Neodiprion lecontei: one gene and its partner. Each later gene encodes a partner of the first gene's protein in a complex. Links are inferred from orthologs where the notes say so. Each region holds a gene or a part of one and is shown in the gene's direction. Other genes may lie near its edges.

What was found. Proteins that work in one complex are often made in the same cells at the same time.
Region 2: the proteins of probable U2 small nuclear ribonucleoprotein A' (region 1) and U1 small nuclear ribonucleoprotein A are in contact, whole or in part, in a crystal structure (PDB 6F4J), measured with the Drosophila melanogaster proteins. The link is inferred for Neodiprion lecontei from reciprocal best matches to the Drosophila melanogaster genes U2A and snf. Residues at the interface, in NP_610315.1 of Drosophila melanogaster: Tyr15, Asn17, Pro18, Arg20, Glu23, Asp25, Arg27, Ser50, Leu70, Asn72, Asn73, Ser92, Ile94, Thr96, Leu121, Ile122, Leu144, Asp146, Phe147, Arg148, Lys149, Lys151; in NP_511045.1 of Drosophila melanogaster: Ile18, Glu22, Lys24, Lys25, Ser26, Tyr28, Ala29, Ile30, Ser32, Gln33, Phe34, Gly35, Gln36, Ile37, Leu38, Asp39, Ile40, Phe72, Pro73, Phe74, Tyr75, Asp76.

Annotation. Positions count from the first base shown.
Region 1 is NC_060263.1:37,391,023-37,395,968, forward strand, and holds probable U2 small nuclear ribonucleoprotein A', read left to right. Parts: upstream 1-2,631; 5' UTR 2,632-2,791; coding exon 2,792-2,873; intron 2,874-2,985; coding exon 2,986-3,026; intron 3,027-3,324; coding exon 3,325-3,904; intron 3,905-4,110; coding exon 4,111-4,157; 3' UTR 4,158-4,446; downstream 4,447-4,946. UniProt on the Drosophila melanogaster protein: Involved in pre-mRNA splicing as component of the spliceosome. Associated with sn-RNP U2, where it contributes to the binding of stem loop IV of U2 snRNA.
Region 2 is NC_060262.1:2,057,812-2,062,653, reverse strand, and holds U1 small nuclear ribonucleoprotein A, read left to right. Parts: upstream 1-2,452; 5' UTR 2,453-2,565; intron 2,566-2,942; 5' UTR 2,943-2,947; coding exon 2,948-3,184; intron 3,185-3,332; coding exon 3,333-3,791; 3' UTR 3,792-4,158; downstream 4,159-4,842. UniProt on the Drosophila melanogaster protein: Binds stem loop II of U1 snRNA. It is the first snRNP to interact with pre-mRNA. This interaction is required for the subsequent binding of U2 snRNP and the U4/U6/U5 tri-snRNP. Plays a role in regulating sex-lethal splicing.

The DNA of each region.
Region 1 (4,946 bases):
TCAATGCAAATCATGCATTGCAAGTCTGGCGAAGAAGTTGGTAATAAACAAAAATCATAAAAGCAGGCTTACAAAAATAAAACTCAAGTTAATACGTTGAATTTTCAAAGAATCTCTTCTTACATGTAGTCCGAAAATGAAGCAATGGATAAAAACGGTAAATTAAAATCAATCGTAAATCGATGTAATAAACTCTGCGAGGCATAAATTCGTTGATTACAATCTGTGATGAGTTTGTATGGGACAAGTGAAATCATCCGGGTCGATCTGTGTCAGTGTTAGTCGATAGTGTTATTTCGACAAAATTTCCGACATAATCCATCGAAATTGGAGACAATAATGGATGATTGTTGATGATTAACGATACAACTTTTTGGTTAATTATAACTTGATTTACTTGAGTCATCGCTTCTCAATCTCCGTTACAATTTTCTATGACCCAGTTTCGAAAATAAAATAAAATTTTCCGACGCTCGAACTTACCTTGCGGCGTTGATATAGGCGAGTTTTGTAATTTTTTGACCTGCTTTATTTTCACAATAATTTTACCAACGGTTTTTGTTTGAACCTCCTGCAGATGTGCAAAAATTGAGAAAGCCAATTGCATGGACATGCAAGTTCAAGGTTGAGAAGATCTATAGCAAATTGACCTTGATAATAAAGTCGAAATTATTTGCACTCAACGCGGTTGGATCTTTCATTTAGTAAGACAGGTAGAAAGGTGATTTCTCTTTTTTTGGAACATTCATGCGTATGAAAATAATCGTTCAACATAGTATGCATCAAAATCTGGTTCCTATTCATCTACTGGCATTAAAGTTAGATATGGGTGAGAAATTCGCAAATTTAAATAAAAATCGCGACTATGTTCCCTACTCTTCGATATGTTATTCGATTAACGAAGAAGGGGCATTCATTTAGTCCATCGCATCTAAAAAGTAGGTAAATCATTTGTTCCAGTTAATTCGTCTGTTAAATTAACGAGAAGGTTAATATTCTTAGAGTGAATTTAATACAAAAACCTACATAGTTTTGTGTGTAGTTCAAACTGTTCAGAGTGTTTTTTATTTCTAATTTCAAGACAAGGAAGACTGAGAAGAAAAAACCGCTCATTGATTGCTTATATCAGATCAAGTTACTTGTTAGGAACAGGTAAAAAAAAAAAAACGGATGACGTTCGATTGACGTAGTTAATGACACCAATAACAAATATTCTGGAGACGTTGGTATCCAATACGTCAGGGAATGCTCTTTCAACTATTTACATTTACTTAAATGGTATTCTGGGTAATTGACAAGAGAAGGAATTTAAATAAGCTAAAATCATAGAACGGTAGATATTCAGGGCTGCAGACCATGAGCAAATATGTGTCCTTTTTAGCAATAATACTTCACTGAAAATTATAACCGCACTAAAACTACGTTCGGTGTTCAATTGAAATGGCAAAACTTTTGAAAACAAATTTCGCGTACGATATTTGTTAATCCAAACGTTCCAAAGGTAGAGAACTAACAAATGTTCAACGAGCTGAATGACGAGGAAAATCGTTCAAGTTTACATTTTTTGGGAAATATCTTCGGAATTTGCCGCAGCTTAGTGTATGTAATGTTTGTTGAATACAAAAATCAGTTCAATTCGTATAAATGTATATACAGTAACTAATTTTGTAATTCAAATCGTCGACATCTGTGATTTCTTCCGATATATTATGATCAACATTAGCTTACCATCAGTATTTACAAAATCCTAAATCATTCAAATTTTCAATTTTCGCTAGGTAAAAAAGATTTTTTACTTTTTTGAATATCTTTGAAATTGAAGTAGGATTATACAAAAATGTACCATAGAGCCGACAGATTAAAGGTAACGGTACGAAGTTGATGAATCGGTACAGAATTTACGAGATTAATGAGCAGAAAAAGACCTTATGAAAATCATATGAATAATTGAGATAATGAATGTGCTTACTGAGCGCAGTCTCTGCAGTTACCGACTTGATCAGATGACTCGGTTGGTAATGACAGAAGACCTTCATTACTACCGACCACGGTCTTACATACAGGTCTGGTAACTCCGGCAGTTTTGAGTGGTAGGGGGTGTCACCGTTAGAGAGGCACACGGTCTTGTTTCCTATCCATCCGCTAGGGGCGCCATTGGCCCGGGGTATGCTAGATATAGATATATACCGATAAGATAACCTGCTCATCGAAGTTTTTGCCAGTTCATAACTCAGTGTAAAGTGTGTAAGCGATGGATCATCTACACAAGATCTCAAACTGTCTCAAAAGTTGTGAGCCCTCGCTTGATGTTTATGGATTTTATTGACTTAAACATTTGAGGATTCCGTTGAAATGAAACAATTATCATGCCCGCTATGGAATGCTAGTAAGCATTTCAATCATTTTTTATTCGCATCTTTCTTCATTTTTGAGTGTTATTCAGGATTGTTGATTCTGAAAAACCAGCTGTTCGGATCTGATTTATGATTAACTCACCCCGAGGGGACAGCGCTGCAGACGGTGAAGACGAGAACCACGGTTTTGCCTCATTATCTGAGTCATTCCCCACCCTACTAGTTTCCGGACCTGTATGTAAGACCGTGCTACCGACGCAATTACTGCTGATCATAAACGCTCCGTCGACTCGGCTGTCTCTAGTCTTCTGAGTTCGTGATTGATTCACCATAGCTGCGTCAAAACCGTAGTCGGAACGGTCAAAATTAGCGTAATAAACGGAAAGGATTTGGGACACGTTTCTTTACAGTTGCTGAGAAATTTATTGTCTAGAAAAATGGTGAAGTTAACACCGGAATTGATCCAGCAATCGATGCAGTACATAAATCCTGTACGAGATCGAGAATTGGACTTGAGAGGTGAGAATGTTAACGGTTTTTCAAACGACGTTGCGCTGCTTTGGCGTAACTTAACCTGAAAAATTCAATTTTTGCACCGGTTGTTGCTGAAAATTTACTTTTTTTATTACAGGATATAAGATACCAACGATAGAAAACCTGGGGGCCACCTTGGTGAGTATCAACGTTCAAGAAATAAACAAGAACAGAAAAAGAGATTAACTTGAGGTCAGAATTGATTCCCAATATATGAGAGTTGAATTATGATGGAAGAAAGTCCGTTTTTGCATGCATGTATAAAGCAATTGTTGGGGGATGAAGAGCATTTGTTTCTGTACTTCTAACATTGGCATTATGTATTATGGTTGCCTGAAGTCGAACAGTTTGATTCAAGCCTTTGGGCTTCGAGTTCAGAGTTGGTGAAACAAAAGAGTGCTATTGATGCATTGTTAACAGCCTATATTTGTTCCAGGACCAATTTGATACAATAGATTTCTCTGACAATGACATCCGAAAGCTGGATGGATTCCCGTTGTTGAAGAGACTGAAGACCTTGTTCTTCAACAACAACAGAATAGTCAGAATAGCCGAAGGCTTAGAGCTCTGTATTCCATCGCTGGAGGTGCTTATGCTTACCGGTAACATGATACAGGAACTGGGCGACTTGGACCCACTCATTCCGCTGAAGAATCTTCGGAACTTGTGTCTCCTGCAGAACCCGGTTTCTGCCAAGCCTCAGTACAGACAGTACGTCGTCTATAGATTGCCACAGCTCCGTCTTCTCGACTTCAGGAAGATAAAGCCAAAGGAAAAGGAAGCAGCCATCCTCTATTTTAGAAGCAAGAAGGGCAAGGACATGGCCAGAGAAATAGCCAAAAAGGCCAAGACCCTTGTTGCTAACAATGGCACCCTAAGCAAACCACCCACCAATGCTGAAGAACGCACAAAGATCAGAGAGGCCATCACAAAAGCTTCGTCACTGGAAGAAGTTCAACGATTGAGCAAGTTACTACAAGCTGGTCAATTACCTGGCGAGGAATCTTCACAGAATGGTATGGAAAACTTTACTAAAATTGTTTGTACGCCTGGCCTCGGAGCTTGATTTGAACATAGTAAGACTATTCTAGCAAATTGAGTTGCGAATGAATTTTTTTCCAAATAAAACATCGAACTCGATACTTATTTCAAAATCAATTTTTTGCAGACGAATATAGCGCTTGTTTATGCTCGCGGGCTACTAATATCTCCTATTTTTCAGGCACCCCACAGCAGCCAACGCCAATGGAGGAGGAGGACGATGAGTGAACTAAATTGAGGGATAAATGTTTAATAATCTGTTTACCGCATTACGAATTAAGTTCTTTTTTTTATAAGGTTACAGCGTAATCCCGTAAGTATGCATTGCCTCCTGATCAACGTTTGTAAAATGAAATATGTAAAAAAAAAAGGTTCTGCATATTAAGCTAATAAGAAGCTGTACACTACACAAAATACAGCATTATCCATTGGAATGTATGGATAGAAAGCGATGGTAAACCGAAATAACGGTTCATTGAAAATTCTAAAAATAAATTACTCTTTGATTGCAATGAAACAAGGTTCGGAAGCGATTTTACCTGAACGAAATTTTCTCTGTAATGTTTCTCCGCTGATTCTAATGTAAATCTCTGTTTATTTCAGCGTGGTTCGAATAAAACACATTGTTTTTCACATTATAAATTGTGTCTTTTAATACTTATTACCATCCAAAGTTTCCCAACAACTTAATTTGCTTGCAGAATTTCATCAAAACTAACCATAAACTAATATTAATAGTTGATATAATCTCACGGTTTGCATTGATGAAAATTCATGCGTAAATCAGTAGCTCAAAGATCTTCTGAATCCCACATTATCACTCAAGTTTAGACGAACCGTTCGCGTCTGTAACGCAGCTTAAGCTAAACTGGAGCATACAAAATCAGCTTCGAACCGTTGTAAACAATTTTTGTTTTGATTTTCCTCACTCTAGGGTCCGTTCGAAGCGTCGAAACTCGGATTAGCGACTTAGACCGCCTGAAGGTAAATTACAAGTCATACACAAACGTAAGACCC
Region 2 (4,842 bases), on another chromosome or scaffold:
AATATATTTTCTATTCCCTCATTTTTTCGCGCGTCTGTCTCTAATCTGTCTGCAATTTTTGTATTCAAGACATGTGATAATTTTTTTTCCACCAGCAGCAAAAATTAAACCAACATATTATAAAAATGTTGTATTGATTGATATCGATAGAGGGTCAGTTTCAAGTTTTCTTTTATCCAATTTGATAGGAAAACGAAGTGAAAATATTTATATTCTATTCGTGGCAATGCAACGTCGTCTTCGATTTGACTCGATTTATGCAGCTGATGATTTTCTTCTTTTCGATGGAAAAAAGGCAAGTTGAATAATAAACTAACTCATTTTCAATATCAGCGTAATGTGATGTATCATTGCTTTTCACATCCGTTAAGAGTAGAAATCACATAGCCAAACCACAGAGCCTGCGGTGAATTATTTTCAGCGCAAACCCATAAAAACATATTTATCTTTATGCTTACTATATAATATCCGAATCAAATACATCTGAAATTTTTTCAGATTTTCCTCCCGGAATTCCTTCCCCATTTTCGCCGGTCACACCGCCCGCACCTGCGGCGTCAACTTTTTCCTGTTTGGATCTATCTCTGATCTGTCTCCAATTCTACAATCAGGACTTGTGATTATTTATTTCCACCTTCCTAGGCCTAGATTTAGAAGGAATCGGAAATACTATAGTACGAACTATGAAACGCGTGTAAATATGTACCACACTCGAACGCACGGTTATCTTCAACGTTCAATACCTTGATGAATAAGAATTCTCGACCTCGTATATAATCTATTATAGAATCTCGGTGATCGGTCAATTAAGTAAACGTATTTTTAGTTAACGTTTCGACCCGGATATGGGCCCTCCTCAGAACGATTTATTTATTTAACTGTCAAGAACAACAAAAAAAATTTTTTTATATACATAATAATACTAGAAGTACAATCAGACATTAAATATTGTAGATGTAATACTCTTAGGGCTATTATATATTATTGGTTAGTAAGAACAATTTGATTAATTGAAAAAAGAATGGCTTAAAGTGTTATTTACCTTTTTTTTAATAAGTAAGTGGACTAGGATGTAGTCGAATTCACAATTTACAATTAGTGGAGACAATGTTCTTTGAGTGACGGTAGTCAATGTCAATCTTCTAGTTATTTTACATGTAGGAGTTAATAGTTGGCAGTCATTAATTAAAAAGATTAAAGAACTATGTTTCTTCACAGTCAATATGTCATTGTGTTAAAAGGTTTTTAAAGAAGGTCTTTTTAGCCGTAAAATTAATTTGCAAAATGTCCAAGAAGTGGAGGTAAGCTCTTTATGACTATGTTCCACATGTCTAACAAAAATTATTGTTGGTTGAACCGATTGGGTCAACAGGTGAATAACGACTGATGGGAGAAACAAATATGATCCAGAGTAAAGGTGAACCTAATATAAACAATTATACAGAAAAACAAAAAATATTTTGTGAAAAAATTATGTAGAAAAACTGTGTTATGGGGACAAAAATTTTTTGTATCTAGTTAAGGTTAAACAATATTTGTTGTGTGGGCGGAGATTACAAGACAAGATGTTGGACATTTAAGTAATATTTACAAACCTCTAATCTCCGCCCACACAACAAATATTGTTTAACCTTAACTGGATACAAAAAATTGAAAAAATTGAATTCGACTACATCCTAGTCCACTTACTTATAAAAAAAAGGTAAATAACACTTTAAGCCATTCTTTTTTCAATTAATCAAATTGTTCTTACTAACCAATAATATATAATAGCCCTAAGAGTATTACATCTACAATATTTAATGTCTGATTGTACTTCTAGTATTATTATGTATATAAAAAAATTTTTTTTGTTGTTCTTGACAGTTAAATAAATAAATCGTTCTGAGGAGGGCCCATATCCGGGTCGAAACGTTAACTAAAAATACGTTTACTTAATTGACCGATCACCAAGATTCTATAATAGTTCAATACCTTGCCTTATTATTAAAAATTATTTTTTTTACGTTTACCACTGATTTGCATCGACAAAAATGTGAAAAACAACTTAGAAATAACAAAAATTGCGTATGTTTTTTCTGTAGTTGATGAAAGCGAATTGAATTTTCGTCACATCGACAGTCGCCAAAACCTTCCTAGTCCTCCTAAGCTTAATTTTCCGAATTTTTCAGTTCTTCTTTCGCCAAAATGTTTGGCAGAGATTGTAGTAACAAAAATTAAAAAACACGAAATCTTTCCTTTCCTAGTCTCTTTAAGTACATATATATTTATAATGTATCTTGTGAAATTATATGGAACTTTCAAATCGCGATAAATTATTCAAATATTTAGCAAATCCATAACGACCGTTGTGTCCGTAGTTCGAAATTTCAAATTCAAATGCCGACGCGTCCGGACCCGCGGCGCCATCTGTCGCTATATTTAGGAATTATAATCTAAGCCAGCCGCGCAGGCAGCAAACTGCAAGGAGCTTGATTGCAGCAAACATAACCTCTCAAAATATCGACGCTTAACAAGCGTGTGCAGTTGAGGTGTTAGGTTGTATCATAAAGTAGTGAAAATTAGGTAAGTTCAACGCTTTTTATCTTTCAAATGCGTTCAAAATAATGCGATATCTCTGTCTTCGAATTTTTATCACCAGTAATACCATGTTAATCGCGATAATCAGCAGATTCCGAAATCGCCGGATGCAAAAAAGATACGAAAGCATTTCTGCGTTCACGTATTCGTGGCATTTTTAATGTAATGAATAGGATCATCAATGATTTTGCATTCGGATTTTTTTCCACATTGAACATTATATAAATTACGGTTCTGCTTTTCCCTTTTTTTTGACATCGGCTCAGAGGTTAGTCGAGTGATTTCATCTTGCTGACCAAAACAAACACAAGTCATCGCTGTGCCGACGATAAGACTTGTTCTAACTCCGATTCTGATTACAGGCAAAATGGATATAAGGCCAAACAACACGATCTATATAAACAATTTGAATGAGAAGATAAACAAAGATGAGCTGCAAAAGTCGCTCTATGCAATTTTCTCGCAGTTTGGTCAAATTCTTGATATCGTTGCATTGAAAACGCTGAAAATGCGTGGCCAGGCATTCGTCATATTCAAAGAGATCGCCAGCGCTACTAACGCCCTTCGATCCATGCAAGGTTTCCCGTTTTACGATAAACCAATGGTGAGAACAACTAGTCAGATCTGATTTGAATCCTCAAACGTCAGTTTTATGTTAGAAATATCATCATTGCTCAACTTAGCACTCAATTTTTATCAGCAAACTAATATTCTATCTAATTTCCTCTCTCCTGTTTTCTTTTTCTTAATAGAGAATACAGTATGCGAAAACGGACAGTGATCTAATAGCTAAGAGAAAGGGCACGTTTGCTGAACGACCAAAGAAACCTAAGCGGGTTGTACCTGCTGCAGAGGAGGAAGCGAAACGTGCGAAAAAGCGTGCCAAGGAGCAGGCTAAACACTCTCAGCAAGTCGGCTATCATTCCGGAGTTCCTCAGCACACAGGAATGGCGAACACTGCAGTGCCCGAGCAACCGCCAAACCAGATTCTGTTCCTGACCAATCTGCCTGACGAAACCAGCGAAATGATGTTGTCCATGTTGTTCAATCAATTCCCAGGCTTCAAGGAGGTCAGATTAGTACCAAACAGACACGACATTGCCTTTGTTGAGTTTGAAAACGAGGTGCAATCTGGTGCGGCAAAGGATGCACTTCAAGGGTTCAAAATAACGCCGTCGCATGCAATGAAAATATCATTTGCTAAGAAATAGATGATAAATAATCGAGGAATAACTTTCGGTGAAATATCGACGAATTTTTGTATTTTTAGAGTGGTACGCATTAGATGTCTTGTTATTTGGCTTTTTTTTTCATTTTTCTTCTCTGTCAATTTTCACCGGAGATGTGAAATAGTTGCATTCTTAAGAATTACGCTATTCATACTATCAATACGATAATTTCCCGAAGATAATCTATATTTATATACACCGTACTTGTACAAGTCATATAATTCCATTGATATAAATAAAGCTTGCACTATCCCCCCTGTAAATATACATTATACGTCTGGAATAGCGCGCATTGCACTTTGGCCTATTTTTGACTAAGCGGGGATAAAAAAATTTCCTTCATTTTTTACACCAATTTTGTTGATAATTTATACCGTATACTCCGATCCAGTATTATCTTAATTTAAAAAAGAAGTGCATAGAAATAATTCAATACAGTTATCCAATATCGGTAGTAAAAAACGAAATTGTCATCTTTGCCGCCTGTTCATAGGCAACTGACCTACCATTATGAAATTGCTGCCTATGCAAAGGCGTATTTCTTCTGCTACAGATATATTTTATTTCGAAGTACACGTGATAGAATACTTTATTATACGATAATCGATCAATTTTGATTAATTTTTCCTCTACGAAATTGCCGTGGATATAACACGGATTACATGTAATTTAACAAAAATATCCTTTTATAACAGAAGAGTAGGATGAAAAATGATTGAAAACGAATTATCCGGTACAATTGATGAATCGTGAAACGACAACGCGCTGTTTCTGCATTCGTTGCAATATCCGGCTTCCTCCTTGCAGTTTGATTCAACGAGTATTTCTCGCATTCCCGGTTTTCCCAAGGTGCGTTCACGAACCACGCCTGCGCAGATATTCGTTCGACAACCGTGGCTCGGATCTCGGATCTCCGGATAAGTCAAGCCAGTCACGTAGCTGGATGAAGCAGTTAAGTGTGGTCAGTTGATCGCTTCAGTTTCTCAGAGTTGGTGTTTCGTGGGATTTAACCCCTGACGTATTTTTGTTCCAT